4 linked regions of the Stegostoma tigrinum genome follow. The protein of the gene in region 2 interacts with the protein of the main gene of each other region in a pairwise test. Links are inferred from orthologs where the notes say so. Each region holds a gene or a part of one and is shown on either strand. Other genes may lie near its edges.

The links.
Region 1: the proteins of pacsin1b (region 2) and cobl interact in binary tests that used the Homo sapiens proteins (3 or more experiments, as listed by UniProt). The link is inferred for Stegostoma tigrinum from reciprocal best matches to the Homo sapiens genes PACSIN1 and COBL.
Region 3: the proteins of pacsin1b (region 2) and ankycorbin-like interact in a two-hybrid assay, tested with the Homo sapiens proteins (2 studies listed by BioGRID and IntAct). The link is inferred for Stegostoma tigrinum from reciprocal best matches to the Homo sapiens genes PACSIN1 and ANKRD24.
Region 4: the proteins of pacsin1b (region 2) and ehbp1 interact in a two-hybrid assay, tested with the Homo sapiens proteins (2 studies listed by BioGRID and IntAct). The link is inferred for Stegostoma tigrinum from reciprocal best matches to the Homo sapiens genes PACSIN1 and EHBP1.

Annotation. Positions count from the first base shown.
Region 1 is NC_081355.1:94,435,231-94,443,136, forward strand, and holds the start of cobl (protein cordon-bleu), read right to left. Parts: upstream 3,014-7,906; 5' UTR 2,642-3,013; coding exon 2,613-2,641; intron 2,409-2,612; exon of another isoform or gene 2,309-2,408; intron 1-2,308.
Region 2 is NC_081374.1:38,805,519-38,813,296, forward strand, and holds the start of pacsin1b (protein kinase C and casein kinase substrate in neurons protein 1), read right to left. Parts: upstream 3,005-7,778; 5' UTR 2,775-3,004; intron 1-2,774. Other genes in the region: rps10 (40S ribosomal protein S10), read left to right, coding at 4,936-5,085. UniProt on the Homo sapiens protein: Plays a role in the reorganization of the microtubule cytoskeleton via its interaction with MAPT; this decreases microtubule stability and inhibits MAPT-induced microtubule polymerization.
Region 3 is NC_081383.1:37,879,090-37,886,718, forward strand, and holds the start of ankycorbin-like, read left to right. Parts: upstream 1-4,616; 5' UTR 4,617-4,747; coding exon 4,748-4,957; intron 4,958-7,629. UniProt on the Homo sapiens protein: Component of the stereocilia rootlet in hair cells of inner ear.
Region 4 is NC_081362.1:1,092,255-1,099,760, reverse strand, and holds the start of ehbp1 (EH domain-binding protein 1), read right to left. Parts: upstream 3,014-7,506; 5' UTR 2,815-3,013; intron 1,377-2,814; 5' UTR 1,101-1,376; coding exon 997-1,100; intron 1-996. UniProt on the Homo sapiens protein: May play a role in actin reorganization. Links clathrin-mediated endocytosis to the actin cytoskeleton. May act as Rab effector protein and play a role in vesicle trafficking.

The DNA of each region.
Region 1 (7,906 bases), on a different chromosome or scaffold from region 2:
GGGCTGCTTGTCCACAGATCCCTGAACACAACAGGATAGTTAATAAGATAGTTAAAGAGGGCACACAGGATGCTTGCTCTGGCATACATTATAAGAGCAGAGAAATTACTTCGGGGCTGTACAAAACTTTGGCCAGGCCACAGCTGGAGTCTGGTCCGTGAATGCACTGGAATAGATGCAGAGGTGACTCATCAGGATGTTGCCCATGATGGATCATTTTAGCTATGAAGAGAGACTGGATAGGCTCAGGTTGCTGTCTTTAGAGCAGAAAAGACTGAGGTGCACAAAATAATGAGGGGCATGGGTAGGGTGGATAGGAAACAGTTATTCATCTTAGTTACATGGTCAATAACAAGGGGCATTACTTTAAGGCAAATAGCAGCAGGAGGATTAGAGGGCACTTGAGGCATCCAGAGGGTGGCAGGATTCTGTAATACACTGCCTGGAGTGGGGATTGTAAATTGGAAACCTAACAACCATTATAAAGTACACAGACACATAACAGTAAAGGCAATGGGCCAAGTGCTGGAAGTAGGGTAGCTAAGTTGGCATAAACTCAAAGGGTTGAAGGGCCACTTCTGCGCTGTATGGCTCTAAGTTTTACTTTCTATCAAGAATGACTGATGTGTGATGCAGAATATCAGAAGAGATCATGGACATAATTTCTTTCCAATATGTTACAAATGCAGGTCAGCCATAGATACCACTTTAAGTTGATTGACATGAAACTCGGCTTCTAAGTGCTTTACTTTCATAGGAGTTACCAAAAACAATGAATGGCTTGAAATGTTCAACAACTTTGAGCAATAATCATTTGTCTAACATTTTAACATTGTTATAATTGCGAAGTTCCATGAAAATTTCCTGACTTCTCTTACTAATTCTCAGCCCTACAAGATACAACAACCAGAAAATTTAGCAAGTGAAAAATGATGATAAACTATATATTACTCAAGGTCAATGCCTGAACTTGGCCTGACAATCTCGTGGCTGTATGTAACTTTAAACTTCACACAGCCTGGGTGATTTCATGTCACATTTTAAACTTAATTAATATCTGGCAAGTTAATCTCAAATGGGGCAAAAACTGGAAACTATAAGAGCCTTCAGCTACTCACAATCTGTCAAGACTGTTACTCTGGACTGCCAACGAATAATTCCTGGTGACATTTATTTGTGCATAAATACAGATGTACGGGCATCTAGTTTCTGGCCTTTGGCACTCACATAAATGTAGAAGATAAAATTAGAAAAAAGGAGCAAAACACTGAAAAACAGCTGTTTTAACCATTAAGCAGAAAGCAAAAGGAATTCCTTCAATCTACCATAAAATAAGGGTTGTTTCAGAGACAGTAGGAACTGCAGATGTTGGAGAATCTGAGATAACAAGGTGTAGAGCTGGATGAACACAGCAGGCCAGGCAGCGTCAGAGGAGCAGGAAGGCTGACGTTTCGGGACTAGACCCTTCTTCAGACAAGAAGGGTCAGTTCTGAAGAAGAGTCTAGGCCCGAAACGTTAGCCTTCTTGCTCCTCTGATGCTGCTTGACCTGCTGTGTTCATCTAGCTGTGCACCTTGTTATCTCATAAAATAAAGGTTTATGACCCTCTACTGTGAGTTTTCAAAATCCACACAGTTAGAGAAATGCAGCTGAAAGAAAATAAACCTTTAAGGACGGATGTGTGCAATTACCTCATTGTTAAAGCATTTGCTTTGCCCTCGAAAATAAACATTTCAAGCAACGGATATGAATGGCTTCCTTTGGGGCAAAACCTTGAATATAAACACACTAAACAGAGTATCATTCAAAAATAAATATATTTCCCAAAATAAGAAAGGAAACCAAATATGAAATCGTTTGCGTATTGTGATTGCGGTGCTGCTTAGTAAGCGACATTGACTGACAACGTTGAAATTAACGATTGCACTTTGTCGTTCACTATGAATCAAACCGCATTAGCAACTTAGTCTCAATGCCCAGAGTGTCCGATTGAAAAAAATATTCTAGTGAGCTGCATTAAAATTATTAATATCTACCCTTACACATCAGGATCTTGTTTGATGGCGTTATCATGTAGCAAGATATGGAGGGAAGCCGTGACTATATCAACACAATCACAGATCAATACGAAAAGTGAACGTTAAGAGTTGTACTCTTGTGGAGAAAATAACGAGGAATTTTGACCAGCTGTTACAGACTGAGATGTCCAATCTACTTCTCCGGTGTTGTGATAAATACAAGGCCTGATCGGGCCTTCTTTCTCTTAAAAAAAAGTCTTGTTAAAGTTAATAGACCCTTTTAAAACAAACCTAGTGCAACTGGTCCAGCATTTCAGATAAAGCCCGACTTCTGCCTGCACAGTAGCCCCTCAGTTTGACCGTTGACAGGTGTGAGCGCCGCCGCCGCCCTTCGCGGGGCAGCGTTTCCAGGGAAACGGGCAAAGCCTGACCAACCGTTCCCAGGGCCAACGATTACTGACACTGTTAATATTCAACACCCCCACCCTCATGCCCGTCATTCTCCGACTGTATTATTTACTCAACCGGCCACGAATATTTCGCATCGAATTCCAGGTGTTTGTTGCAGAACGAACTTTTTGAAATGTCAACATACCCGGCCGGCGCCCGAGCAATTGTCGCCATCGTCGCCGTCTCCCTGGTTCCAATCTCGTACTGCTTTTTTTATTATTATGTCGTCCACAACCAACCTCGCTCCGGGTTACCACCAAGCTCCTTTCACTAAAGTGCGATGGAACCAATTAATCAGAAATCACCTTTCTTTTCCGCCCACTCCCAAACTTTATCGGAGTCTCTACGCGCGGAAAATGCACTTGGTCGTGTGCTCGCAACCAACGGTTCCAAAAGTCTGGGTCACAAATATGATCGGCTCTTCTTTCTAATTCACGTACATACACGCACGACAACTGTCTGCAAAATTAGACCAGTGAATAAGCAGTAAACTATGTGCAATCACCGCACATCAGTCACTGCCCAGATACTACTCCAAATAGAGGCACTTACACTGGCAACAATTTCACACAGCAGCTCTTGTCGCGTTCTCTCTCCTTTCATTCGCTCCCTCGACGCCTTTCTTGATTAATTAATGAAAATAAAGCAACCTTATTTTTGAATGCGCCCTTCTCTCTCTGCTACTGTCTCCAAACTCCTGCATGAAATTAACCACCTTCCTCGGGATCTCCTGTCAATCACCGCTTTGTCCAACCCAGACTGAGGTACAAAAGTACTTTGCAGTTATATTCAGATTGTTTTCTTTTGATCATGGTTTGATTGGACTACATTGACTGCATAGTTTTGGAATGCACGTTTTAAAAGGCACTTTTGTCTGATGTCGTGCAAAGTATATCTCCGATCAAATAAACCTATGATGTCTTCAATTACACCATAAACGTGCTGCTTAATTCTTTTTAATGTATTTTCAAAACTTCAGGATTGCCTATATTCATATGTGGATATCGCTGAGACAACGTTATTAACAAATTAACACATACATGAAGCACAAGTTACAGTAGCCACGGTTGAGAGCTACACGAGACTTCAACGCAGCTGAGACACCAGGAAACTCATAAATTCAAAATCTATTCTCTACGAACTCTTGTAGCTACACCACCCCGGATATCTACGTTCCTCTGATTCAGATCATAGAAGCAACATAAGTTTCGAACACACAACTTCTCATAGCGAGTTGTCTTCAGTTGCTTCCACCCGAAACTCTGGGATAACTCCCTGCTCTCCTCAACTTTGCTTTCCGTTTTGACTCATTAAAACCTTTATGCCTTTTTGACGAGTTGGGAAGTAATTATGTGGATGTACATCAAATGCTGTTTCAATGTGACAAACACAAAGATTCAAGTCTGTCAGTATCTGAGGAGAGAAAAATACTCAACGTTTGGACTTGTGACTTCTGAGAACTGATTGAAGTTTGTGTATGTACTTTTGAAAGAGGCAAAGGAGGAACAAGAGGGCAGATAGTGTACAAAACCATGATTTTGGAGCAGAATTAGGCCATTTGGGCCATCAAGTCCACTCCATCACTGATCTGTTTCATAACTGCACCCTCCTGCCCTCTCCTCTTAAACCTTGATCCCCTGTCCAATCAAAATCTATCTGCCTCCATCTTAAATATACTCAATGACTGGCCCTCCACACCCACACTGGCAACGAGTTCCACATGTTCACCAGCCTCTGCCTGAAGAAATTTTCCTCATCTCTATTCTAAAAAGTCACTGCTTTGCTTTGAGACTGTGCCCTGGGATCCTGGTCCCTCCTCCTTGTGGAAACATTTTTCCATGCCCACACTATCCAAATCTCTCAGTAGTCTGTAAATTTCAATCAAATCCACCTTCAGCTTTCAAAACTCCATTGAATACAGACCCAGTGTCCTCAAATGCTCCTTATGACAAATTCTTCATCCCTCGGATCATTTTTGTAACCTTCTCTGGACCCCTCCAAGGCCAGCCCATCTTTCCTTAAGTACATGTCCCAAAACTGCTCACAATATTTCAAATGCTTCTCACCACAGACTTATACAACCTCAGCAGTGCATCTGTATTCGTGCATTCCAGTCATCTTGAAATGACTGTTAACATTGCATTTGCCTTCCTGACTGCCAACTGAAACTGCAAGTTAACCCGAACAGAATCCTGAATTAGGGCTCCCAAATCCCTTTGTGCTTCAGGTTTCCAAAATCTTTCTCCATTTAAAAAGTAGTCAATGCCTCTATTCTTGCCATCAAATTGCAGAACCTTACATTTTCCCACATTGTATTCCTTCTGCTAGTTTTTTACCCATTTCCCTAGCCTGTCCAAATCCTTCTCCAGCCTCCCCACTTCCTCAACACGACCTGGCCCTCCACCTATCTTTGTATCATCTGCATATGTAGCAATAACGTCCTTAGTTCCTTTGACCAGATGGTTAATGTACAACATGAGTAGTTGTGGTCCCAATGCTGATCCCATGAACTCCACTCATCACCAGCTGCCATCCTGAAAAAGACCCCTTTATCCATACTCTCTGTTTCTGCCGGTCAGCTAATCCTCTATCTGTGCCTTGCTTCTAACATAATGAGCTCTTATCTTACTTAGCAGCCTCCTGTGCGGCACTTTGTCAAAGGCCTTCTGAAAATCCAAATGGATCATGTCCTCTCATTCTACTTTGTCTAACTTGCTGTTACTTCCTCAAAGAATTCAAACTGATTTGTCAGGCATGATTTCCTCTTGACGAAGCCGTGTTGACTCAGCCCTACCTTATCATGCACTTCCAAGAACTCTGCAATCTCATCCTTAATAATGTAAAATCTAATCTCTTAAATCTTACCAATGACTGAGGCCAGGCTAAACAGTCTATAGTTTCCTGTATCAGAGATAATAGGAACTGCAGATACTGGAGAATCCGAGATAACATGGTGTGGAGCTGGATGAACACAGCAGGCCAAGCAGCATCTTAGGAGCAGGAAAGCCGACGTTTTGGCCTAGACCCCTCCTGAAACGTCAGCTTTCCTGCTCCTAAGATGCTGCTTGGCCCGCTGTGTTCATCCAGCTCCACATCTTGTTATATATAGTTTCCAGTCTTCTGCCTCCTTTCCTTCTTAAATAGGGGTGTGACATTCCTCATTTTCCAGTCCTCTGGCACTCTTCCTGATTCTGGTGATTCCTGAAAGATGACCGTCAATGCCTCCAAAATCTCCTCAGCTATTTCCTTCAGAACTCTGGGGTATAGTCCATCTGCTCCATATGATTTATCCACCTTTCGACCTTTCAGCTTCCCTAACACCTTCTCCTTAGTGATGGCCACTGCACTCACCTCTGCCCCTGACTGTTGAAGTTCTGGCTTGTTTTGTAGTGTTGTCTACTGTGAAAACTGATGCAAATTACCTATTCAGTTCAATGCTGTTTCTTTGTTCCCCACTACCCCTTCTCCAGCTTCATTTTCCAGCTGTCAAATGTCCACTCAATTCGCTTTCATCTTTTGGATATCTAAAAATAAACATTTGCAATCTTTTTCATATTACTAGATACCTTACTGTCATACTTAATCTTCTTCTCCCTTATTACTTGATTAGTTATCCTCTGCTGGCTTTTTAAGGCTTTCCAATTGTCTAATTTTCCCACTAATCTTTGCCACATTGTCTGCCTTTCCTTGTGCTTTTATGCTGCCCCTGATTTCCCTTGTCAACCATGGTTGCCTTGTCTTCCAATGAGTATGTTTCATCTTCCTTGGGGAAAATTTCTGCTATATCTCCTGAATTACTGCAGAAACTCCTGACATTGTTGATCCACCATCTACCCTCCTAGGCTGGCCTTCCAATCAATTCTGGCCAGCTCCTTCCCAATTTCATTTTAATTATCTGTATGCTAGTTAATTGTATTAATTCTAGCTGCTTCTTGTCAAATTGCAAGGTGAATTCTATCATATTATGTTCACAGTCCCTAAGGTTCCCTCACCTTCAGCTTCCTAATCAAGTCTGCTTCATTACACATCACCAAATCCAGAACTGCTTACCACCTATGGGGTCTACCACAAACTGTTCCAAAACAAAATCTCAGAGACATTCCACAAATTCTTTTTCTTTGTCCACCTGCATATTGAAGTCCTACATGATTATTGGAAAAGTGCTTTTCTGACATGGTTTTTCCTTCTCCTGATTCCCCACATCCTAGCTACTGCTGGCTGGCTTGTACACAACTCCAATCAGGGCCTTTTTCCCTAGGCCAGTCTACAACTCTACCCACACAGATTCCACGCCTTCTGACTCGATGTCACTTCTAGTGATTGATTGAATTTCATTTTTACCAGAAAGGTAATTCCACCCTGTCTGCCCATCTGCCTGTCTTTTTGATTGGATACAGATCCTTGAAAATTTAGTTTCCATCCCTGTTCTCCTTGCAGCCATGTCACTGCGATACCCACAACATTATCTGTGCCAATTTCAATCTGTGCTAAAACTCTTTTATCTTGCTTTGTATATTGCATGCACTTAAGCACAACACCCTCAAGCCAGCCCTGTGTTGACTGCCCCCTTTCTCATAGTTGAATCCACCCCCACTACTTAGTTTAAAGTCCTATCCACGGTGTTAATTATGTGATTCGCCAGGACTCTGGTCCCATATCGATTCTGGTGGAGCCCATCCAGCTCCCTCCTTCCCGAATACTAGTGCCAATGAACAATGAATTTGAACCTGTTAGTCCCACACCAGTTTGTGAGCCTTGCATCTACCTCTTTAATCATCTGCCCTGTGCCAATTTGCTTGTGACTCAGTTATAATCCAGAGAATAACACCTTTTTGACTCTTCTTTTTAATTTAGTGCTGGCTGCCCATACTCCTTTAGCAGAACCTCCATTCTCTTTCTAGCTATATTACTGGTACCTACATTTACTACAACAACTGTATCTTTCTCACGCCAGTTCCTCTGCAGCCCAAACAAGAGAAATTGAACCTAGGCACCAGGCAGGCAACACAGCCCTTGGGACTCTCGATCCTGGCCACAGGAAACAGTGCCTACTCCCCTGACTATACTGTCCCCTACATTTTCCTTTTTCACTCCTCTTGAATGGCTCCCTGTGCCATGGTGCTATCAGTTTGCTAATTCGCCCTCTAGCCCCTACTGTCATCCACACAGGGAGCAAGAATCTCAAACCTGTTAGACAAGCTCAAAGGCTGAGGCTTTTTCAGCACCATCTACTGGATCCCTCTACTTGCCTCACTCATAATCACACTCTCCCGTCTTTGACCACTGACCAAATTTGAGGTCGTTAATCTAAGGAGTTTGTCTGCCTCCTGAAACACAGCGTCGAGTCAACTCTCCCCCTCTCTGATGTGTCGCAGTGTTTGAAACTCAGGTTCAGGGTTGATGAGCTGGAGTTCCTCAAACAACAAACACTTGTGGTCA
Region 2 (7,778 bases):
CACATTGAACGGCAATTGCATTTATCAAGCTCCCATAACAAGTATCAATGTGCCACAAGGAAAAGCTGACATTTTCTCTCCAATAAACACCCTTGGTTATCAGGTCAGGGTGGGTAATGCTGGCATAATCACTGCACTATAAATAGAGCACTGCAAACCAATGAATTCTACAACTGATCACTACAAAGAATTTAAAACAATTTGTTCAGAAACATTAAATTAACATCTGTTGGTTTAAAATTTGCACCACCTTTCATAGCTATCAAAGCCTAATCATGCATGACTATAAATAGAAAGGCACTGTCACAGTCAATATGTGATATTTATTCAACTGCAAATGTTTTCACTGGTGACTTCTTTCATTCTGCTCTTCCTTCATACAAAAAGAAAGCTCTTGTCTTTGTTTGCAGGTGCTAATGATGTATGGCATTATCTGAGGAAGATTCCTGAAGATATGTGTTCAATCTCACCCTTGTCAGCACCTGCATGGATACTGGCATCCCATGTATGTTACATTCTCGACAAGGGGAAGGTCTTCACATATTAAAATCACTGGCCAAAGCGTGAAGGGTGCCATTGGTATAGTTCACCAGAAAGAGAGATTGTATTTTAGCCTAGCTACATCATGAACTCATTTGCCAATGAGATTATCACCAATCCAAAAATAAGTGCAGTTCCATCAACTCCCAGGAGATCCAGGTTGCTGTGTGCCTGCTGCTGCCTGGAGAGTGGGCCAAGCAGTTCAGGTCAGAGTGCTCAAAGATGGTGACCAAGTACACCAGCTCCAAGTGAAACACCTCATTGCACTGAAAAATAAAGGGCTCAAAATGAAGCAATCAGTGAATTCTGAGGAACTTAGTCCAGGAAATTCTAGTTGCACTATGCAGTCTGCCAGCAAACTGGTGCACAAGGTCACAGTATACCGAAAAGTCATGCTCCAATCCATGTTATGTCTTTGCACAGAATGGAGAGTATTCTATCCAATATGGACAAAGTGCAAAGTCCATCAACTAGACACTGCTGCCCACCATCAAGGAATCTCTCCTGACAGCTCACAGTTGCACTGAAAGCTCACTTCTTCCTATCCAAATGGTGGTAAAGACAGATTACGGCAAAGTTACGCAACACGCAGCAGATAACTCTAATCTGGATACCCACTCAGGGATAATGCACAGGTCCTTCTAAATCGTCTGTGAAAACATTGTTTGAGCAGGTTGACTGCTTGGTCGTTAACATATTAAAGGAGTAAAATCTCTTTCATATGATACAACTGCTGGACAGGTAATGGGGGGCTGTAATGCAGATGAAACCTAGCACTCCCTCATACTCATTTTTCTACTCCAGGAGAAGAAAATATAAGTGTTTTCCCTGGTCTAGTGACCTCAGTTACCTTCCTGAACAGCGGTGAATGGCAACTTTAGGATTTGTTGTTTATGTCGTCTACTGCAATTGGAAAGGAGTCAATGGCATAAAAAGGGTGATGATCACCTTGGCAGACATAGGCAATGCTGCTCATGTATAGCTGAAATTATGACTGCAGCAAATGTTGTAACACACTGATAGCCTCCTCTGTTAACCAACAGCATCCCGCACATTGGTCCTCAATCTACCCAAGACAGAAGCTCTCTGAATACTTAGATAATAAAGTGTGAAGCTGGATGAACACAGCAGGCCAAGCAGCATCTCAGGAGCACAAAAGCTGACGTTTCAGGCCTAGACCCTTCATCAGAGAGGGGGATGGGGTGAGGGTTCTGGAATAAATAGGGAGAGAGGAGGAGGTGGACCGAAGATGGAGAGAAAAGTGTAGATGGGGAGGTTGGGAGGGGATAGATCAAGGAGGTGGGATGAGGTTAGTAGGTAGGGGTGGGGTGGGAGGAAGGGATGGGTGAGAGGAAGAACAGGTTAGGGAGGCAGAGACAGGATGTGCTGGTTTTGGGATGCAGTGGGGGGAGGGGAAGAGCTAGGCTGGTTGTGTGGTGCAGTGGGGGGAGGGGGCGAACTGGGCTTGTTTTGGGATGCAGTGGGGGAAGGGGAGATTTTGAAGCTGGTGAAGTCCACATTGATACCATTGGGCTGCAGGGTGCCCAAGTGGAATATGAGTTGCTGTTCCTGCAACCTTTGCATGGCATCATTGTGGCACTGCAGGAGGCCCATGATGGACATGTCATCTAAAGAACAGGAGGGCAGTGACAAGTGCCTCACTCTTCCTCCTCATGGCCTACAGCATCAAAAGGTGGAGGAAGAATCCAACTGAATAAATCAATAGCTACAGACACCAAAAAGGTAGACAGTTGGGATTCTGGGCAGGTGCAAGTGCAACAAGGGATAGATTTTTCCTCAGCATCTATAGAAGGTAGGATTGGGATGTGAAAGGGGTTGAGGTTAGCAAGTGACACAATGAAATAAATCAGAAATGGCTGAAACTGTTAGTGAAAATAAGCCAATTAGGTAACGTGAACAAATTATGTTAAATATCAGCATCAGCCACATGAATCAGACTTTCAAGTTTCTTCATGTGAATTATTCATTGGATTGGGAGGGGGAAAGCAGGGTTGCAGCTCTATATAATTAGATTGCAGTTCTGAAAGCAAGCAACATGAAAGATTAGTCTTCTTGCTGTATTTTCAACATTTCAGTTAGATTCCCATTTGAGCCTATATTTGTGCAGAAATATTCCCAGCATCCTACTATTTTGCAGAAATTTTCCCACTATATTTCCATTTGAGCTTATATTTGTGCATAAATATTCCCAGCATTTTCTAAGCGCCACTCACTGTCCTGGTGCTGCTCCAACAACATCCACCGAGAACTACAATTCCCAGGAGGCACGACTGCCCGAAACACCATCACTGCGCCCAAATGAAGTACTGTAATCGGGGATAAAAGTCTCCATGTTGGCCACAACACTGCAGCTCAGTAGTACCCCTGTGCAGAAGCACACACCAATCGTTCCCTTACCGCCACAACCACAACCGTTCCTTTAAATCAACGGTACTAACGGCTGACCCTCGAGACCCAGTTGGCCAACGCGCCCAATCTTTTATACCGATCGGGACAAAATACAATTTGCATTTATTAAGTATAATTTTTTTTAAAAATATCAAACTCGGCTATTCCTTCTAATTATTCGAGGATTTATTTAAGTCAGGGCAGCTAGCGCAGATTGCAATATTAAGGACCCTCGCCGAAGGAGGAAGAGGCTCCGAGTGCGCATGCTCGGTCTTTTCCGGCTTCAGCCCCATTATTAGAGTTCAAGGTATGTGAAGAAAGGCTGTCCAAAATCCTTAAATATCTCTAACATCCCGCTGGGGTGAACTTTCAAGACCTCAATGGTGGTTGACACGCGTCATCTGTATTTATTCACTCACTCATTTCTATAATTTCATAAGTATTTATTGAATAGTTTATAAAATACCTCCCAGTTGCTGCTGCAGTCTTGGTGATATAGAGAGGGTAGGCCTCAGGCTCTGTTAATTGACTGAATAAAAGTTACAGGAAGTTGTTTCTCTAGGATGTTGTGTAGTTTTAAAGGTGTCTGTTTTGTGCCGTTATAGTTAGTATTAAGTTAATATTTTATGCAAGCTTTCTGGTTTCCCCGAGGTGAAAGTGTTCCTCTTATACCGCTGTTTCAAAGATGAGTTCCTGTAATAGATGTTTGAGCGTAATATCGACGATACACATGGTGGAAAGGCACTGATGTTAAGAAGAAAACGCGATTAAGAGGAAGTTTACTGATTTCAGACCTGGAATTAGCAGTTTGTCTACTGAGGAACTTTGGACACGCTGAAATTATATCAACTAGAATTCAAGAGAGCAGAGGGTGATTTGATTCAAGCCTGTAGATCCTCAAGGGTCTTGACAAGGTGGAAAGAGAAAGGGTGGGTGATTCGGGAATGAGGGGACACTTTTAAAGTTAGGGTCATGTTCTTTACAGCAAGTAAGGGGAATTTTTTTACAGTGGATCTGTGATGGAATATTCTGCCTCAGGAAGTTGGAATTGTTGAAAATAATGATCAATCCACTGTCACTCTTATTAAGGAATAATAAAAGATAGAATTGTGGAATTTGGAATGCAGATCAGCTGTGAGCTTATTAATTGGCAATGCAGATTTGAAGGGCTGGCTGACCTACTTCTAAATTGTATGCTTGGAGTCGCTTTCTGAAGCTGCCTCTTGAGTAGCTTAAGTGTGATATTTCAAAAATGATTGTATTTTATCTTCAGATGTAACTAACAGAAATACATCTAAAGATAAGAACAATCTTTTGATTAATTTACTTTGTTTCAGCTTCATTATGAAACTGTTGGTTTGAAAGCTGTTTTCATCAGCAGTTTAGGTTGTGCCTCAACACTGGGCCTTTGGGCAGAGAGACTACCAAATTGTGGGAGGTCACATGTTCAATACAGAACCCAGGCTCCTGATCTGGGCTGGCCCCTTAAGAAGCCAAGCATATGCCCTACGCTGTCTCTAGCTGCCTTTACTGTTGACGTTCCTACAGAGATTGACATGTAGGTGTTGAAGAAAGACAACTTTGAAGAGGCATTTCACAATACGGACACCTTATGGTGGAATTTTGAAAGGGACAGGGAGGAGGGAGTCTAACTAGGACACTGAATTTTGTAAATCTTGTCTCTAATCAGTAATGACTAAATTTATAATTAGTAATAAGCCCCTTGTTGCTATTTCATTTTCTTAAAACAAACTTCAGAATTGTTCTATAGGCTGTCAGATGGAGGTTGTTATAAACAGGAGGGACTGAGTGTTCCAGGCCACAGATACTGTCAGCGTACTTCTGGATTACTCTTAACCAAAAATATAAGATAAATGTTGTAGTGAACGTGTGCATATTGGAAGAGAATCACCTAATATTAGGTTATGACCAAACTAGATCTTGTGAAATTCCAATGTTGAAGTCCCCTATTCTGTTTTATTTCAGATGCTGATGCCTAAGAAGAATCGTATTGCTATCTATGAGCTCCTCTTCAAGGAGGGGGTAATGGTAGCCAAGAAGGATGTGCATATGCCAAAACATCCAGAACTGGCAGACAAAAATGTCCCAAACCTGCACGTAATGAAAGCCATGCAGGTATCATATTTAAATAACTATGATTTATAAACAGTCTATAAATTTCGAAGAAACTTCATATCAACGTTATGAAACAAATTTGACACTGGCCTTTAGTTGATGAAATGGTAAGGCAGATGGCCAAAAACGTGTTTAGGGAGATAATGTTTAAAGGTGAATATTAAAAATGGAAAGTAAGCAGTATTGGGTGTGTGAAGGGTGTTTCAGAGTTTAGGATCTTGGCAGCTCAATACATGATCACTAATGGTGGAGAGACGGTAAGATTGGTCAGCATTCGAGAGTTGCAGTTGTCTCGCTGTTATAGATCTGGAGACCACAAAGATAGAGAGGGCTGCCGTCGATCAGAATGAAAGACAGGCCTCATTTTTACATACAGCTTCGGTCAGAAGTGCTGTGGGGTGATCCAACTTCCTGAAATCCCTGACATCACTGATGGGGGTCTTCAGCCAATTTGGTTCACTTCTTATGATATCAAGAAGGAGCTGAAAGCACTGCACGCCACTAAGGCTTTGGGCTCTGACAGCATTCTGGCAATAATACTGAGGATGTGCTCAAGCTAACTGCCTCAGCATGGCTGTTCCAGTAAAGGGACAGAGCTAGCAATTACCTAGTATGTGTAAACTTGCCTGGGTAGAGTCAGTTATTCTAGCCAATTATCACCTGTCAGGCTGCTCTCAAACTTCAGCAAAGGGTTAGACGGTATAGTCGACAAGCAGCAGTTACACAGCAGTGACCTACTTGCTGGTTCTCGGTTTTGGCTCCACCAAGGTCATACAGTTCCTGACCTCATTATAACTGTAATCCAAGCATTAACAAAAGAGCTGAATTTAAGAGGCGAGGTATGATTGACTGCCCTTGATATCAATGTAGTGTTTGACCAAGTGGCATTGAGGAGCCCTTGCTAAACAGGAATTTTGGGATGGTGGGGGTTTGGAGTCGGATACATAGATGATGATTGTGGTTATTGGAGGCTGTGTATCAAGTAACAAGGTGAGAAAATTCATAAAGCCAAAGTACAAAGGGATCTGGGGGTGCTAGTCCAGGATTCTCTAAAGGTTAACTAGCTGGTAAAGTCCATGATTAAGAAAGTGAATGTAATGTTGTCGTTTATCTCAAGAGGGTTGGAATATAAAAGCAGCGATGTACTTCTGAGACTTTATAAAGCTCTAGTTAGGCCCTATTTAGAATTCTGTGTCCAATTTTGGGCGCCACACCTCAGGAAGGACATACTGGCGCTGGAGCGTGTCCAGCAGAGATTCACATGGATGATCCCTGGAATGGTAGGCCTAACATAGAATGAACGGCTGAGGCTCCTGGGATTGTATTCATTAGAGTTTAGAAGGTTGAGGGGAGATCTAATATAAACGTACAAGATAATGCATGGCTTAGAAAGGGTGGACACTGGGAAGTTGTTTCCGTTAGGCGGGGAGACTAGCACCCGTGGGCACAGCCTTAGATTTAGAGGGGGTAAATTTAGAACGGAAATGAGGAGACATTTCTTCAGCCAGAGAGTGGTGGGCCTGTGGAATTCATTGCCTCGGAGCGCAGTGGAGGCCAGGATGTTAAATGTCTCCAAGGCAGAGATTGATGAATTCTTGATCTCGCACGGAATTAAGGGATGGCCGGGGTGAGTGCGGGTAAATGGAGTTGAAATGCCCATCAGCCATGATTAAAAGCGAAGTGGACTCAATGGGCCGAATGGCCTTACTTCGACTCCTATGTCTTATGGTCTTCCCTGGACGTAGTTGTAAGTGTTCTTCAAGGTATACTTTAAAGCCAATCATTTTTCAGCTGCCTCTGGTCAGAAGTGCGGATATTTGCTGATTGCACAGTATTCTATGCGACTGTTAAAATACTGAAGCAGTCTGTACCCATACATGCAGCAAGAGCTGGACTGTACTAGATTTTGAGTAATAAATGGCAAGTGATGTTTGTGCCACACAGCTGCCAGGTGATGACCATTTCCATCAAGACAGAATTCAAACATTTCCTGTTTTTCCAGTGGCATTACCATTGCTGAATCCTCCAGTGTAAGCATGTTGGAGGTTGCTGTTAAGCAGCAGCAGCTAGACCAGCCAGAACAAGTCAGGCTATTAATTCTGTCAGTGTAACACACCACCTGACTCCCAAAAGTCAGTGGATCATCTGCGAGGTAGAGGTACTTGTTGCAATACTGAAGAAGCTCAAGCCATCCAAGATAAGGGTCTGCAGGATTGGTATTTCACCTACTCACTTGAACCTTCTATTCCTCCACTAGTAATGCATAGAGACAGCAGTGTACTGTAGCAACTCATTTAAGCCTTTTTTGACCATATGTTCTAAACCCATGTTTGAAATCTAGAACTCCCTTTTAACAGAACTGTGGACTCACCCACACCAGACAGATGATAATGGCTCAAGGACACTTCAGGTTGGGCAACAAATTCTGGCATTGCCAGTGATGCCCCAGATCCTGTAAAAGAATGAAAAACCTTGTTAATCTGAAAAGCCTGTTTGCAAAGCAATTCACTGCAGTATATGGATCAGTAACTTGAGGGCTATAGTGATGACAAAGGAAGACATATATGTTTTGGATATTCGAACAAATAGATAGATACCCACTGTACCCTGAAAGCTACATATTTGTCCCTTAAATTTGCTTTACTCCAGTTAGTAGTTCAGAATCTCAGATATTGTATTTTAAGCATGAAGGA
Region 3 (7,629 bases), on a different chromosome or scaffold from region 2:
ATCTGGTTCATTAACGTCCTTTAGGGAAGGAAACTGCCGTTGTTACCTGGTCTAGCCTACATGTGAATCCAGATCCACAGCAATTTGGTTGACTCTTAACTAGGGATGGGCAAAAAATGCAGGCCCAGACAGTGACAACTTCATCCCATGAATGAATAAAAAGACAACAAAAAAATACTGGGGAGTGGAGTTTGTGTTGGGGACTAGACAAAATGGCTTCTTGGAAATCCAAATCTCTGGAACACAATCCACAAAGCCTCATGATTTACAGTCAAATTCTTTGACCAGCTTGAATAATACAAAAGAGCATTCTTGGTGTTGTTCTCAGAATTTGTTTTTGCATTGTTCAGGCAACAAAGCCACTATCAAAGGTTCCTCTGAAAGATCTAAAACCTAAAACATTTAGTGACTCTGGAAGTAGGTGATTCAGGGGAAAGTTGGTGTTTTTTTTCAGGGTTGAGTAAAGGGAATTGAGACACAAGCCAGCCTTGACTTAGTTAATGATGTGGAATAGGATTGAAGGGCTGGATAGCCTTCTGCTGTTCCCATGTGCAGTCATGAAACAGGTGACACTTGGTTCTTCCCTTGTCAAACAACATCCAAACTTTTGATATGAAACTTTGTTGTGAAAATTGAATGTGCTTGAATTGCAATCTGATCAGATTGCTGGGCTAGCCATCCAGGCATCCGAACTAATACTGTGTGGACATAGATTTAAATCCCAGCAACGCAGCCGGTGGATTCTAAATTCAACTGATAATTCTGGAATCAGAACCCAATCCCAGTAACACTGACTAATCCCACTGGGTTCACTGATTCCCTTCAGGGAAGGAAATCTGCCAGCCTAACTTGCCTGTTCTGCATGTCGCTCCCAGCTCCACAGCAATGTGTGTGTCTATTAAATACCCTCTGAGGTGACCCTTGCACAGTTAAAGGGTAATTAGGGTTGGACAACAAATGCCAGTCTGGCCGTAGCATCCACATTGCATTAAGGAGTAAAGAAAAATAATCAGTGTTATGATGATCAATGATGAAAACAAACTGAGCAGAGGAAGCTATTATTTTGTCATTCTGGAGCTATTAAACAAAATTAAAATAAAAAGGATCAAGACCATTTTGTGTCTAACAATAGCTGCCAAGCATTCAGAATAGCAAATGTGTGATAGTGAAGGCTGACACTCCTGCTATGAACCATCTGCATTCAGCAATGCCTAGTGCCTATTTTTATGTTACAGCCAACAGCAACTTCACTCCTGAATTGTACAAATGTTCACAAATTTGGCTAAACCCAGCACTATGTTTTTTGGGTGTTGAATGTGTCTTGATACCCACACATTGATTTGAAAGTTAATGCTCTTACCTGGTCAGTACCAAGCCCATCACATTCTCTTATCTCTGCGACTGCAAACTCAATACTATCAGTCACCTCATCATAAAGAATTTGAATATTCTTGAAAAGTGAGACATCTTGCTGGAGCTTTTCATCTTTTAGTCTTCAGGACAAATGCAAGAATGCCAAATTTCAAACCATCAGAAAAACTTATACTCCAGGGTCTTGCTGATTGGTTGATCCAGTGGGATCCTGAGCCCAGGGCTTGACAACTCTGTTTGCTTTTCGTTTCTGTTTTCCTGTCCTTTCTTCTTTTACTCTTACCTCTTGGTGAAAAGCTCAGTTGCGGCGATGGCATTGATGGCAGAGACTGGGCCCAACAGCACAGCGAGTTTGAGTTCCTGGCAGCGTTTTGGCACAGAGGTGGCGGTGAGTTTGGGCTGGTGCGGTACCTGGTGACATCAGTGGTGTCTGCATCGGTGAGGCCCAGTGAAGACTGGCAATGGTGTTGATGGAGGTGAGATGGTGCTGACAAGTAGTGACTTTCACTCCAGCAGCGATGGCAAATGGGACTTGTGCCTGACCACCAGGTCCGTGGCTCATGACAGAGTACTTAACAAGTTTGAAGTTTTGGTGTACTTTGTGTTTTATGATGGCGCAAAAGAGTGACACTATACAACACTTTTCACTACATTTTGTAACAAGATACACGTGACAATAAACTTTGTAAAGGGGAATCTGGCTCCATGTTTGAAGGGAGTACATAAAGGTGAGTAAGGCTAATGGGCGCCATGGTGGCTGTGCGGTTAGTGTCAGTGATATAGGTTTGATTCTAGCCTCGGGTGACTGGAGTTTGTGCGTTCTCCCTATGTCTGCGTGAAGTTTCCTCAGGGTGCTCTGGTTTCCTCCCACGGTCCAGAGACGTGCAGGTTAGGTGAATTGGCCATGCTAAATTGCCCATAGTGTTCAGCAATGTGGATGAGTCATGGAAAATGCAGGGTTACAGGAGCAGGATGGGATGTTCTTGAAAAGGTTGGTGCAGATGTGATGGGCTGAATGGCCTCTATCTGTGCTGTAGAGATTCCTTAATGAATGTTTTTGCAAAGACAGACTTTCCATGGCCAACATGTTATGGCGTGAGATGTGAATCCAGAGATCCCGACCTAAAGGCAGGGCTACTGCTACTGAGTCGCAAGACCTTTCGTCTATCCTAAATAATTCTATGATGCAAACCTTAGAAAACTTTTCTTGGGCTACAAACTGATTATTGCTCCTACAATGATGGGGTCCTTGGTAAGGCTTGTAGACTGAAACAGTTAGGCAAATGTTGTGCAGTTCTTCAAGCTGGTGATTGCCTTTGAGCATTTCCCTCCCTCATTTTCCCACTTCCTCTAACTTTTTTATGATTGATTTATTGTTGCTTGTATTTTACAGTGAAAAGTTTCAACTGCCACCAAAATCCAGTGCCAATTTGAATATCTTATGAATAAAATGAGAGAACTGAAAGAAAGCCCCTCCTCGTTACACTGCCTGCACCATGAGTCTTGTACCATCAACCCACTTCCATTTCCTCACTGCAGCCTGTGCTGGGCCCACCAATGTTGGTGTCATCACTCTTCAGGTGCCACTGGGCTCACCTCGCTACCGCCACCACCAGGAGCCATACCACACCCTCACACATCCTGCAACCAGGAGCCCCAGGATCTGGGCCTGACCACCACCAGGAGCCCCTGGCTCTGGGCCAAGCACCACCAGGAGCCCCCAGGCTCTGGGCCGGGCACCACCAGGACCCCCCGGGCTCTGGGCCGGGCACCGCCAGGAGCACCTGGGCTCTGGGATGGGCACCGCCAGGAGCTCCTGGGCTCTAGGCCGAGCACCGGCAGGAGCCCCCGGGCTCTGGGCCGAGCACCATCAGGAGCCCCTGGCTCTGCTGCCAGGCTGGTCAGTAACTGCCTTGTGACGAGCCCCACTCTGGCTGCCCTCCTCCACAATGTCATTTTGTCTGCCACCCTTACAGAAAGAAGATGAAAAGGGTCTGGAACGAAGGGAGGAAGTGGCAGGTCTGGAGTGAATGGAGCCAGGAGCGTGCATGCTGCTTACATTGCTGGTGCCGCTACCTCCAGGCAGGATTATGAGAAAACTCGGCCTCCAGTCTTTGTTAGATGAACAGACAAAAGAATTTGATGCCAAAGCATCATGGGCCTCCTGCACTGCCACAATGATGCCACCCGAAGGTTGCAGGAACAATAACTCATATTCCGCCTGGGAACCCTGCAGCCATATGGTATCAATGTGGACTTCACCAGTTTCAAAATCTCCCCTTCCCCTACTGCATCCCTAAACCAGCCCAGTTCGTCCCCTCCCCCCACTGCACCACACAACCAGCCCAGCTCTTCCCCCCCCCACCCACTGCATCCCAAAACCAGTCCAACCTGTCTCTGCCTCCCTAACCGGTTCTTCCTCTCACCCATCCCTTCCTCCCATCCCAAGCCGCACCCCCATCTACCTACTAACCTCATCCCACCTCCTTGACCTGTCCGTCTTCCCTGGACTGACCTATCCCCTCCCTACCTCCCCACCTATACTCTCTCCACCTATCTTCTTTTCTCTCCATCTTCGGTCCGCCTCCCCCTCTCTCCCTATTTATTCCAGAGCCCTCACCCCATCCCCCTCTCTGATGAAGGATCTAGGCCCGAAACATCGGCTTTTGTGCTCCTGAGATGCTGCTTGGCCTGCTGTGTTCATCCAGCCTCACATTTTATTATCTTGGATTCTCCAGCATCTGCAGTTCCCATTATCTTTGATGCCAAAGCAGTTATGTTCTCATCAAATGCCGTGACAGAGCTTGGTTAATCTCAGCGCCGGTGTCACCGGGATGCTGCTCGTTGCTGAGCTTTGACTTTGCTGCTGGACTGCACTCTTCACAAAGACAGATGTGGATCGGTCAGGAGAAATCACACGGAGACCGCTGGCTTCATCATCTCCCCTGGGGGAGAGAAAAGCAAACCTGTGACAGGGGGAGGCCAGTCGACATACACCTGAAACATTCAGAACTTGAGACAGGTGGAGAGCGCCACATATCCCCCAGTGAGAAGAATTCAGGTGTGATCAAACTGAAGATTAGATAAAGAAATAATTGACTAACCTGGAGTGGCTAATGTGCAAAGGGTACTAACTCAGAGAGAGGTATTGCACATGCTACCAGCATGCTAACAGCAACTTGCTTGAATCTGACTGTAACCTGCACAGCTCCCTGCTGTTTTATTAATGTATAGAGTTGATTGACATCTTGAAGCATTGAATGCAGTCACTTGGAGTAAAGCAAAGGCTCCCTGGTTGCTGAGCTGTTGGTGATATTCAGCAAACGGTGTCCTCCCAGTTTTGAAGAGGGGCTAGATTGTTGGGGGATGGGGTCTGATGCTGCAGCAGACTGCAGTGTGCCAGGGAGACGGGACCGCCAGTATTCCTGAAGCAGAAGCTGGACTCTGTGATCCTGGCTGGGCAGAGAGGGGTAGCAGCAGCAGGAGGACGTTCTCTGAGGAAGGGAACAGTATTTATCAGGAGCTGCATGGCCATCAGACATTTGCGATCGGTTATGAAACGGATCTGTCTCTGTGCTGCCTCTCTGTCAGTATGTTTGCTTTCTCTTTCTCCCTTATATTTTCATCCTGCTCACTGTGTGCTATGGTTAAATAGCATTGATGCTGCATTGCATTCGTTCGAATGAGCACGTTTTAAAAACCCACTCATTCACGAACTGTAGGTGTTGTCGGGTCGCAACTGGGGAACATTCAGCATTTAATGTATTGTTACAGCAAATCAGTCAGTACTTTTTTATAACAATCAGCTTTGTATGAGTTTGATTTTACATCTCCTTGAGCCTGCAGGAGGGTCTTGGGCTATGTTTATTTGCGAGCCAGGAGCAAAGTGCTGTCACTGTACTATAGAGGACAGCGTGAGAGGAAGGGGCCCAAGGATACCTCAGGCATTTGGGCATTGAATGGGGCTGCTGGTATCCATCAGATCGATACACTAATCATCTAAACAACTGAGCTAACTGCAGCCCTCTATGGTTTTACATGCTTCCATGTAAAAGAAAACGTAAAAGTGAATTATGAAAAATGTATGAAAAATGCTTTTTGTTATACTTTGCTTTAACCACACAATAGATGGTAGCTGTCTATTGATTGCTAGATCTGACCGGACAGATTCTGTTGGAATTGCCGTTTCTGCCCACGGTACTTTGTGATGTTACAGGGCTCTTTCATTAGGCATGACATTAAGACTCAAAACCCCTAACTACACGGATCGAATCTCTCCTGAGACGAATAAATTAAAAATTTTCATTTCTGTACCACTCTGTGAGATGGTTTAGCTCAGTTGTCTGGATGGCTGGTTTGTGAAATAGAGTGATACTACTAGTGTGTGTTCAATCCCTGTCCTGTCTGAGGTTACCTTTCCCCTTGCCTGGGGATATGAGGACCCTTAGGTTAAAGAACCTTTGATGAGATTGTAATCCCGTGGTCTGGTAAGATTATGGTTACATATCCTTTAGGTCCGTTTCCAGGATATCCCATCTTTGAAATGGATTAGCTATTATAATGTAGCTTCAGTTTCCACAGGAGAAACTCTGATAGACGACACAGTGATTATGACTGGGTAGTCTGTCCTTTTAGTGATGTTGATTTAGAGACCAGAATTAGTGAGGACACCATGTAAATAAACTACACCCACATGCAATAAGTTACTGCTAAACTTTGCCCCAGTCAGTGTTATTTCACTTTAATGTTGTTCAAATAATTTGGGTTATATATCTGTGCTGTGTTGCCACATTGACCATAATGTTGCTTTCTGCAGATTTCTTGTTCTATGGCCTGTACATCTCACTCTGAACATGATGTGCTTCCCAGTACTATGGGTGTCAGTACACCTCTTCCCTCTGCCCCTGTTGTCAGTGCTGCTCCTGTCCTTTCACTCTCTGGTGTCACCTTCACAATCTTAGGTGCCTGTTACCACCAACAGGGACTTGTTCGGTTGATTCCTCTTAGAACATAGAACATAGAACAACACAGCGCAGAACAGGCCGTTCGGCCCATGATGTTGTGCCGACCTGTGAACTAATCTAAGCCCATCCCCCGACACTATCCCATCATCATCCATTTGCTTATCCAAGGACTGTTTAAATGCCCCTAATGTGGCTGAGTTAACTACATTGGCAGGCAGGGCATTCCATGCCCTTACCACTCTCTGAGTAAAGAACCTGCCTCTGACATCTGTCTGAAATCTATCACCCCTCAATTCGCAGCTATGCCCCCTCGTGCAAGCTGATGTCATCATCCTAGGAAAAAGACTCTCACTGTCCACTCTATCTAATCCTCTGATCTTGCACTCTTAGCTTGCACTCAGCTGCTACTTGCACCAACCAAACTCTCCACTCGGTGTGATCAGAGATAATAGGAACTGCAGATGCTGGAGAATCTGAGGTAACACAAGTGTGGGGCTGGATGAACACAGCAGGCCAAGCAGCATCTCAGGAGCACAAAAGCTGATGTTTCGGGCCGAGACCCTTCATCAGAAAAGGTGGATGGGGAGAGGATTCTGAAATAAATAGGGAGAGAGCGGGAGGCGGACTGAAGATGGATAAAGGAGAAAATAGGAGGAGAGGAGAGTATAAGTGGGGAGGTAGAGAGGGGATAGGGCAGTCCAGGGAGGAAGGACAGGTCAAGGAGGTGGGATGAGGTTAGTAGGTAGGAAATGGAGGTGTAGCTTGAGGTGGGAGGAGGGGATAGATGAGAGAAAGAACAGGTTAGGGAGGCGAGGACAAGCTGGGTTGGTTTTGGGATGCAGTGGGAGAGGGGAGGTTTTGAAGCTTGTGAAATCCACATTGATACCATTGGGCTGCAGGGTTCCCAAGCGGAATATGAGTTGCTGTTCCTGCAACCTTCGGGTGGCGTCATTGTGGCACTGCAGGAGGCCCAGGATGAACATGTCATCTAAGGAATGGGAGGGGGAGTTAAAATGGTTCATGACTGGGAGGTGCAGCTGTTTATTGTGAACCGAGCGTAGGTGTTCTGTAAAGCGGTCCTCAAGCCTCCGCTTGGTTTCCCCAATGTAGAGGAAGCCACATCGTGAACAGCGGATGCAGTATACCACATTGGCGGATGTGCAGGTGAACATCTGTTTGATGTGGAAAGTCATCTTGGGGCCTGGGATGTGGGTGAGGGAGGAGGTATGGGGGCAAATATATGGCGGAAGTGTCGGACGATGATTTGTTGTATCCGGAGGTTGGTGGGTGGTAT
Region 4 (7,506 bases), on a different chromosome or scaffold from region 2:
GAGTACTGTGTGCAGTTCTGGTCACCCTGCTGTAGGAAGAATATTATTAAATTGGAGAGGTTTCAGAAAAGATTTACCAGGATGTTGCCAGGAACAGAGGGTTTGAGTTATAAAAATAGGCTGGGACTTTTTCCACTGAAATGTAGGAAGTTGAGGGGTGACATTACAGAGGTTTATAAATCGTGAGGGGCATAGATAAAAGGTGAATAGCAAGGGTCTTTTCTCTAGGGCAGGGGGAGTTCAAAACTAGGGAGCATATTTAAGGTAAGAGGTGAGAGTTTCAAAAAAAGACACGAGGCAAATTTCTGTTTACAGAGAGTGGTTCATGTGTGGAATGAACTACTAGAGAAAGTGATGGATGCAGGTACAGTTACAACATTTAAAAGGCATTTGGATAAGCTCACAATTAGGTACAATTTGGAGAGATATGGGCCAAGTGCAGGCTAATGGGACTAGTTTAATTCGGGAACATGGCCGGCATGGACTAATTGGACAGAAGAATCTGTTTCCATGTTGTATGAATCTGTGATTCAATATCTTTTTGTACCAAGATAATGGCACAAGTACCACGGTGCAAAATATATCAGTTGCAAGTGATATTGGTGTTGCTAATATTGTATTATAAATAAATATGAGAACTTGTCAGCTGGAAAGTCCTGGTTTTTTTTCATGTACTAGACCCTTGACCATGCCGAAAAAAGGTTTATCTAACAATCTCAGATGCAAGTGAAAATTAATCCCAGAGCATTCCCAAACCTGGAAGATGATCATTACCAATCTATTAATGACATGAACTCATGCACAATTTTAATAACCACAAGAGTGTCCTCCAGTTCTCTCCAAACATCAGAGGTTTCTCAACCCTGCCTAATTCACCATAATCTGAGTTGGTCTTTGCAAAGAATAAATTACATCATTAGTTGCAGGAAGACAATGGCTGCAGGCCAATAGTACAACACTTACAATCTGATACAACAATAAATTTATTATACTCACCATTTTTTTGTGCACTCTACCATTAATTCTTGGTATGAAGCCACAAATTGGAACTTGGATGCATGCTTTCCCACACGTTGCAGCCGTTTCCAAACTGAAGCCATGATTATTATAACTTGGTTTTGGACAGATGAGTTCAGGTATAAAACACAGCTTCAATTTTCCAAGTTTATAATTTAGACATACAAGTGTAGATCCTTTAAGAGCGATAACATTTCTTCTACACGTTCATTGAAAAAAAATCACAAACAGGATGACAGATTCCAATGTGGATTGCCAAGTACTCCAGTAACCTGCATGGCTGTGGCAGGAAGTTGCTGTCAATTCAACCAGTCATTCCTCTATGGGTTCAAATGACGTTGAATCATCAGGCCTGGAAACTGAGACACAGATACCAGTTTAAAATAAATGCAAACAGAACAACTAGCACACAACTACAAGTAACAAAAAAAAACTGGTAGCCAACAACTGAAGCACTTTACCAAAATGTTTTAAATGACCACAAAAAACAATCACAAAAATGTATTTTAAGATTTCAATGACTTGTAAAAGTTGTCGCAGGAGCTAGTGACGTATTATTTAAATTCACCCTCAAACATTGACATTTATCTGCTCAATTGAAACATCAGTGCAGAACATTTAAAATCGAAAAACGTCTAGATTTCACCACCTCAAAAATGCTGATGCTCTTGCCTCTGAAAACAAAGTGCATTATTCATCATTGAAAAAAAACTCACCATCTGTCTTTTTAAAGATATCAGTTTGTCTATTACAGACATTTACACAACAAAAGATTACAATTAACACAAAGCTGACAATCGAAAAAAATAAGTAAGGCATGATCAACACAACACAAGCAAATCAACCCTTCTGAACATTTATCACTGCACAAAACTTGCAGACATTTAGGCCACAAAGACGGGACAGCTAAAGTATGATACCAGAAATATCAGATGGGGCTTTCACTTCCAAGTGAATGCACTCAGACTCAAAGACTACAGACAGTCCACCATATTAAACAGTGACATCCCAACCAATCTAGACCCCCACACCCCCAACCCCAGGGAAATCTTCCTGCTCCAGCGCATACCATCTCAACAACATTCCCACCTCTGTCAACTACATTCTCCCGGAAGAAAATATCAACCCCGACTCCTTTCAGAATAGCATGACCGTCTTGACAGATGCACCCCCTCCACTTCCACCGGCATTGCTCTCCATACACACACACACACACACACACACACACACACACACACAACCCAGATCCTCCCAAGCCAGCGCAGATCTCCCCCTCAGGACACACTCCCCCACATCCCACTCTCATGGTCTACCCTCAGAGCCAACCCCTCAGTGCATGCAGACACACACACACACCACACACCCAGAGTCTACCCCTCAGGGCACACACCCCACCCAAAGCCTACCCCCAACAGAGAACACCACCCCCAACCCCCGCCCAAGAGATTCCTCTTCAGGACGCACAACCCTCACCCCACCCCAGGGTCACCCTCACTAACCTGGCCTTCCTCCTCCCTCACCACCGCCCCCCCGCCGTTTCTTGGGGTTCCCCTCACTGACCAGTCCTGCACCCCCAGACTCACCCTGGCTGATCCCCCCGGCTCCACCTCACTAACCTACCCTAACCCCTCCCCTCCCCCACGTCCCCCCTCACTGCCTCCTTCAACCCCTTTCACCCCTCACTGTCGCCCGCCCGAGTCCCCACTATCAACGTCCCCCCTCCCCGCCACCCCCGGGGGGCGGGGTAATTGTCTGGCAGTTCTCCCCCTATTCCGAGTCCCCAGGTCATAAACCCACCGATTGCGACTTTGTGAAACTCGCTCTCCTTGGCCGGTTACTCGGAGAATGAGAACACGGCCTCAAACCCCGGGGACGGCTGTCGGCGCCGTCTCCATCCTGAGAGGACCGGAGACCGAGGGCTGGAGGCCGGGGACGGGGCAGTTCTCTCAGCCGACCCTGCTGCGTCCGCCCTCTCGCACCAACCTGCCGCCGGTCGCGCGGCAACAAAACCCGCCCATTCCCGCAGCCCATTGGCTGGACTCCGGGCCTGGTGATGTCAATCGCCGGTGTGGGGGCCTACGTCAGTTCCGGCTGTCAGATCCCAGCTCGAGACAGAGAGAAAGACAAAGGAATAGTGGGAAGAAGGGATAGAGGGATGGGAAATAGAGGGAGGGATATACAGATGGGGAATAGAGGGATGGAGACAGGGAGGGATAGAGAGAGAGGAAAGAAGAGAGGGAGGGATAGAGTGAGGGGGGATAGAGAGATGGGGGACAGTGGGAGGGAGGAAAGGTGGGAGGGATACACAAGAGGGGAAGGTAGAGAGAGATCAGAAGGGATAGCGAGAGGGAGAGATGGAGAGATCGGAAGGGACAGAGAGAGGGAGGGATGGAGAAATGGGAGATGGGGGAGGAAGGCAGGAAAGGAAAGAGGGATGGGAGAGAGAGGGGATGGGATAGACAGATGGGGAATAGAAGGAGGGAAGGAGAGAGAGATGGCAGAGAGAGATGGAGTGAGAAAGAGGGAGGGAGACATGGGAGAGGGAGAGATGGGAAATGGAGGGAGAAACAGGGAGGGACGAAGAGGGAGAGATGGGAGATGGTAAGATGGAGAGAGAGAGTGATCAGAAATGGAGGGAAAGAGAGAGATCGGAGATGGATGAAGAAAGAGGGAGAGAGAGAGATCGGAGATGGAGGGAGGGAGAGATGGGAGAAGGAGGGAGGGAGACATGGGAGAGGGAGAGATGGGAGAGGGAGAGATGGGAAATGGAGGGAGAAACAGAGAGGGAGGAAGAGGGAGAAATGGGAGATGATAAGATGGAGAGAGAGAGGGATCAGAGATGGAGGGAGAGAGAGAGAGAGAGATCGGAGATGGAGGGAGAAAGAGGGAGGGGCAGAGAGATGGGAGAAAGAGGGATGGAGGGAGAGATGGGAGATGGAGGGAGAGATGGGAGAGGGAGAGAGAGATGGAAGAGGGAGAGAGAGATGGGAGATGGAGGAGAAAGAGGGAGGGAGAGATATGAGATGGAGGGAGAAAGAGTGAGGGAGATGGGAGATGGAGGGAGAAAGACCGGGGGAGGGAGAGATGGGACATAGAGGGAAAAAGAGGGAGGGAGAGATGGGAGATGGAGGGAGCGAGAGATGGGAGAGGGAGAGATGGGAGATGGATTGAGGGAGAGGGAGAAATGGGAGAAAGAGGGAGGGAGACATGGGAGATGGAGGGAGAAAGAGGGAAGGAGAGAGAGATGGGAGATAGAGGGAGAAAGAGGGAGGGAGAGATGGGAGATGGCGGGAGCGAAAGATGGGAGAGGGAGGGAGAGATGGGAGAAAGTGGGAGGGATAGATGGGAGATGTAGGGAGGGAGAGATGGGAGATGGAGGGAGAAAGAAGGAGGGATAGATGGGAGATGTAGGGAGCGAGAGATGGGAGAGGGAGAGAGATGGGAGATGGAGGAAGAAGGAGTGAGGGAGGGAGAGTTGGGAGATGGAGGGAGAGATGGGAGATGGAGAGAGAAATGGGAGATGGAGGGAGCAAGAGGGAGAGATGCGAAATGGAGGGAGAATGAGGGAAGTAGTGAGAGGGAGAGATAGGAGAAAGAGGGAGGGAGGGAGAAAGAGATGGGAGAAAGAGGGAGGGAGAGCGAGATGGAGGGAGAAAGATAGAGGGAGGCAGAGATGGGAGAAATGGAGGGAGAAAGTCGGAGGGAGGGAGAGATGGGAGATGGAAGGAGAAATAGGGAGGGAGAGATGGGAGATGGAAGGAGAAATAGGGAGGGAGGGAGAGATGGGAGATGGAGGGAGGGAGGGAGAGACGGGAGATGGAAGGAGAAAGATGGTGGGAGAGAGAAATGGGAGTTGGAGGGAGCAAGAGGGAGAGATGCGAAATGGAGGGAGGGAGAGATGGGAGATGGAGGGAGAATGAGGGAAGTAGTGAGAGGGAGAGATGGGAGAAAGAGGGAGGGAGAGAGAGATGGGAGAAAGAGATAGGGAGAGCGAGATGGGAGATGGAGGGAGAAAGAGCGAGTGAGGGAGAGATGGGAGATGGAGGGAGAATGAGGGAAGTTGTGAGAGGGAGAGATGGGAGAAAGAGGGAGGGAGGGAGGGAGCAAGTGATGGGAGAAAGAGGGAGGGAGAGAGAGATGGGAGATGGAGGGAGAAAGAGAGATGGAGGCAGTGATGGGAGGGGGTAGATGGGAGAAGGAGGGAGCGAGAGATGGGAGATGGAGGGAATGGGAGATGGAGGGAAATAGTGGGAGGGAGGGAAAGAGAGATTGGAGATGGAGTGAGAAAGAGGCAGGGAGGGAGAGACGGGATATGGAATGAGAAAGAGGGAGGGAGGGAGAGATGGGAGAGGGAGGGAGAGATGGGAGATGCAGGGAGAAAGAGGGAGGGAGAGATGGGAGATGTAGGGAGAAAGAGGGAGAGAGAGAGCTGGGAGATGGAGGGAGAAAGAGGGAGGGAGGGAGGGAGAGATGGGAGTTGAAGTGAGAAGGATGGTGGGAGAGAAAGGAGAGGGAGGGAGAGATGGGAGATGAAGGGAGAAAGAGGGAGTGAGGGAGATATGGGAGATGGAGCGAGAATGAGGGAGGGAGGCAGAGATAGATGGAGGGAGAAAGAGGGAGGGAGAGATGGGACATGGAGGGAGAAAGAGGAAGGGAGGGATAGAGAGATGGAAGATGGAGAGAGAAAGAGGGAGGGAGGCAGAGAAAGATGGAGGGAGAAAGAGGGAGGTAGTGAGAGATGGGGGAGTAAGCGGGAGGGAGAGGTGGGAGATGGAGTGAGAAAGAGGGAGGGAGACTTGTGAGAGGGAGAGATGGGAAATGGAGGGAGAAACAGGGAGGGAGGCAGAGATAGGAGCTGGAGGGAGTAAGAAGTAGGGAGAGGTGAGAGATGGAGGGAGAAAGAGGGAGGGATGGGAGATGGAGAGAGGGAGAGAGAGAGTGATTGGAGATGGAGGGAGAGAGAGAGATCAGAGATGGAGGGAGAAAGAGGGAGGGAGAGAGCGATGGGAGAAACAGGGAGGAAGGGAGAGATGGGAGTTGGAGGGTGAGATGGGACAGGAAGTGAGAGATGGGAGATGGAGGGAGAAAGAGGCAGAGATGCAAAATGGAGGGAGGGAGAGATGGGAGATGGAGGGAGGGAGTGAGAGAGAGATGGGAGAAAGAGGGAGGGAGAGAGAGATGGGAGATGGAGGGAGAGAGAGATGGGAGATGGAGGGAAGGAGAGATGGGAGATGGAGGGAGGGAGTGAGAGAGAGATGGGAGAAAGAGGGAGGGAGAGAGATGAGAGATGGAGGGAAGGAGAGATGGGAGATGGAGGGAGAAAGTGGGAGGGAGGGAGAGATGGGAGATAGATGGAGAAAGAAGTAGGGATTGAGAGATGGGAGATGGAGTGAGAAATCGGAGATGGGGTGAGAGATGGGAGATGGAGGGAGAACGAGGGAGGGAGGAAGAAGGAGAGATGGGAGATGGAGGAAGAAAAAGATGGGAGATGGAGGGAGAAAGAGGCAGGGAGGGAGAGATGGGAGTTGGAGGGAGGGAGATGGGAGGTGGAGGGAGGAAGAGGGTGGGAGTGATAGATGGGAGATGGAGGGAGAAAGAAGGAGGGAGAGAGAGATGGGAGATGGAGGGAGGAAGAGGTAGAGATGCAAAATGGAGGGAGGGAGAGATGGGAGATGGAGGGAGAATGAGGGAAGTAGTGAGAGGGAGAGATGGGAGAAAGTGGGAGGGAGAGAGATGGGAGATGGAGGGAGAAAGAGAGAGGGAGGCAGAGATGGGAGAGGGGGAGATGGGAGAAGGAGGGAGGAAGAAATGGGAGATGGAGCGAAGGGAGATGGGAGATGGAGGGCCAAAATGGGAGGGAGGGAGAGATGGGAGATAGAGGGAGAAAGAGGTAGGGAGCGAGAGATGGGAGATGGAGCGAGAAATGGGAGATGGGGTGAGCGATGGGAGATGGAGGGAGAAACAGGGAGGGATAGATGGGAGATGTAGGGAGCAAGAGATGGGAGAGAGAGAGTGATGGGAGATGGAGGAAAATAGAGGGAGGGAGGGAGAGAGAGATGGGAGATGGAGGGAGAGATGGGAGATGGAGGGAAAAAGATGGAGAGATGCGAAATGGAGGGAAGAAGAGATGGGAGATGGAGGGAGAATGAGGGAAGTAGTGAGAGGGAGAGATGGGAGAAAGAGGGAGGGACGGAGAGAGAGATGGGAGAAAGAGGGAGGGAGGGAGAGAGAGATGGGAGGGAGAGAGAGATGGGAGATGGAGAAAGAGAGAGGAGGCAGAGATGGGACGGGGGAGATTGGAGAAGGAGGGAGGGAGATTTGGGAGATGGAGGGAAGGGGAGATGGGAGAAGGAGGGAGAAAGTGGGAGGGAGGGAGAGATGGGAGACAGAGGGAGAAAGAGGTAGGGAGTGAGAGACGGGAGATGGAGGGAGAAATGGGAGATGGAGGGAGAAAGAGGGAGAGATGCGAAATGGAGGGAGGGAGAGATG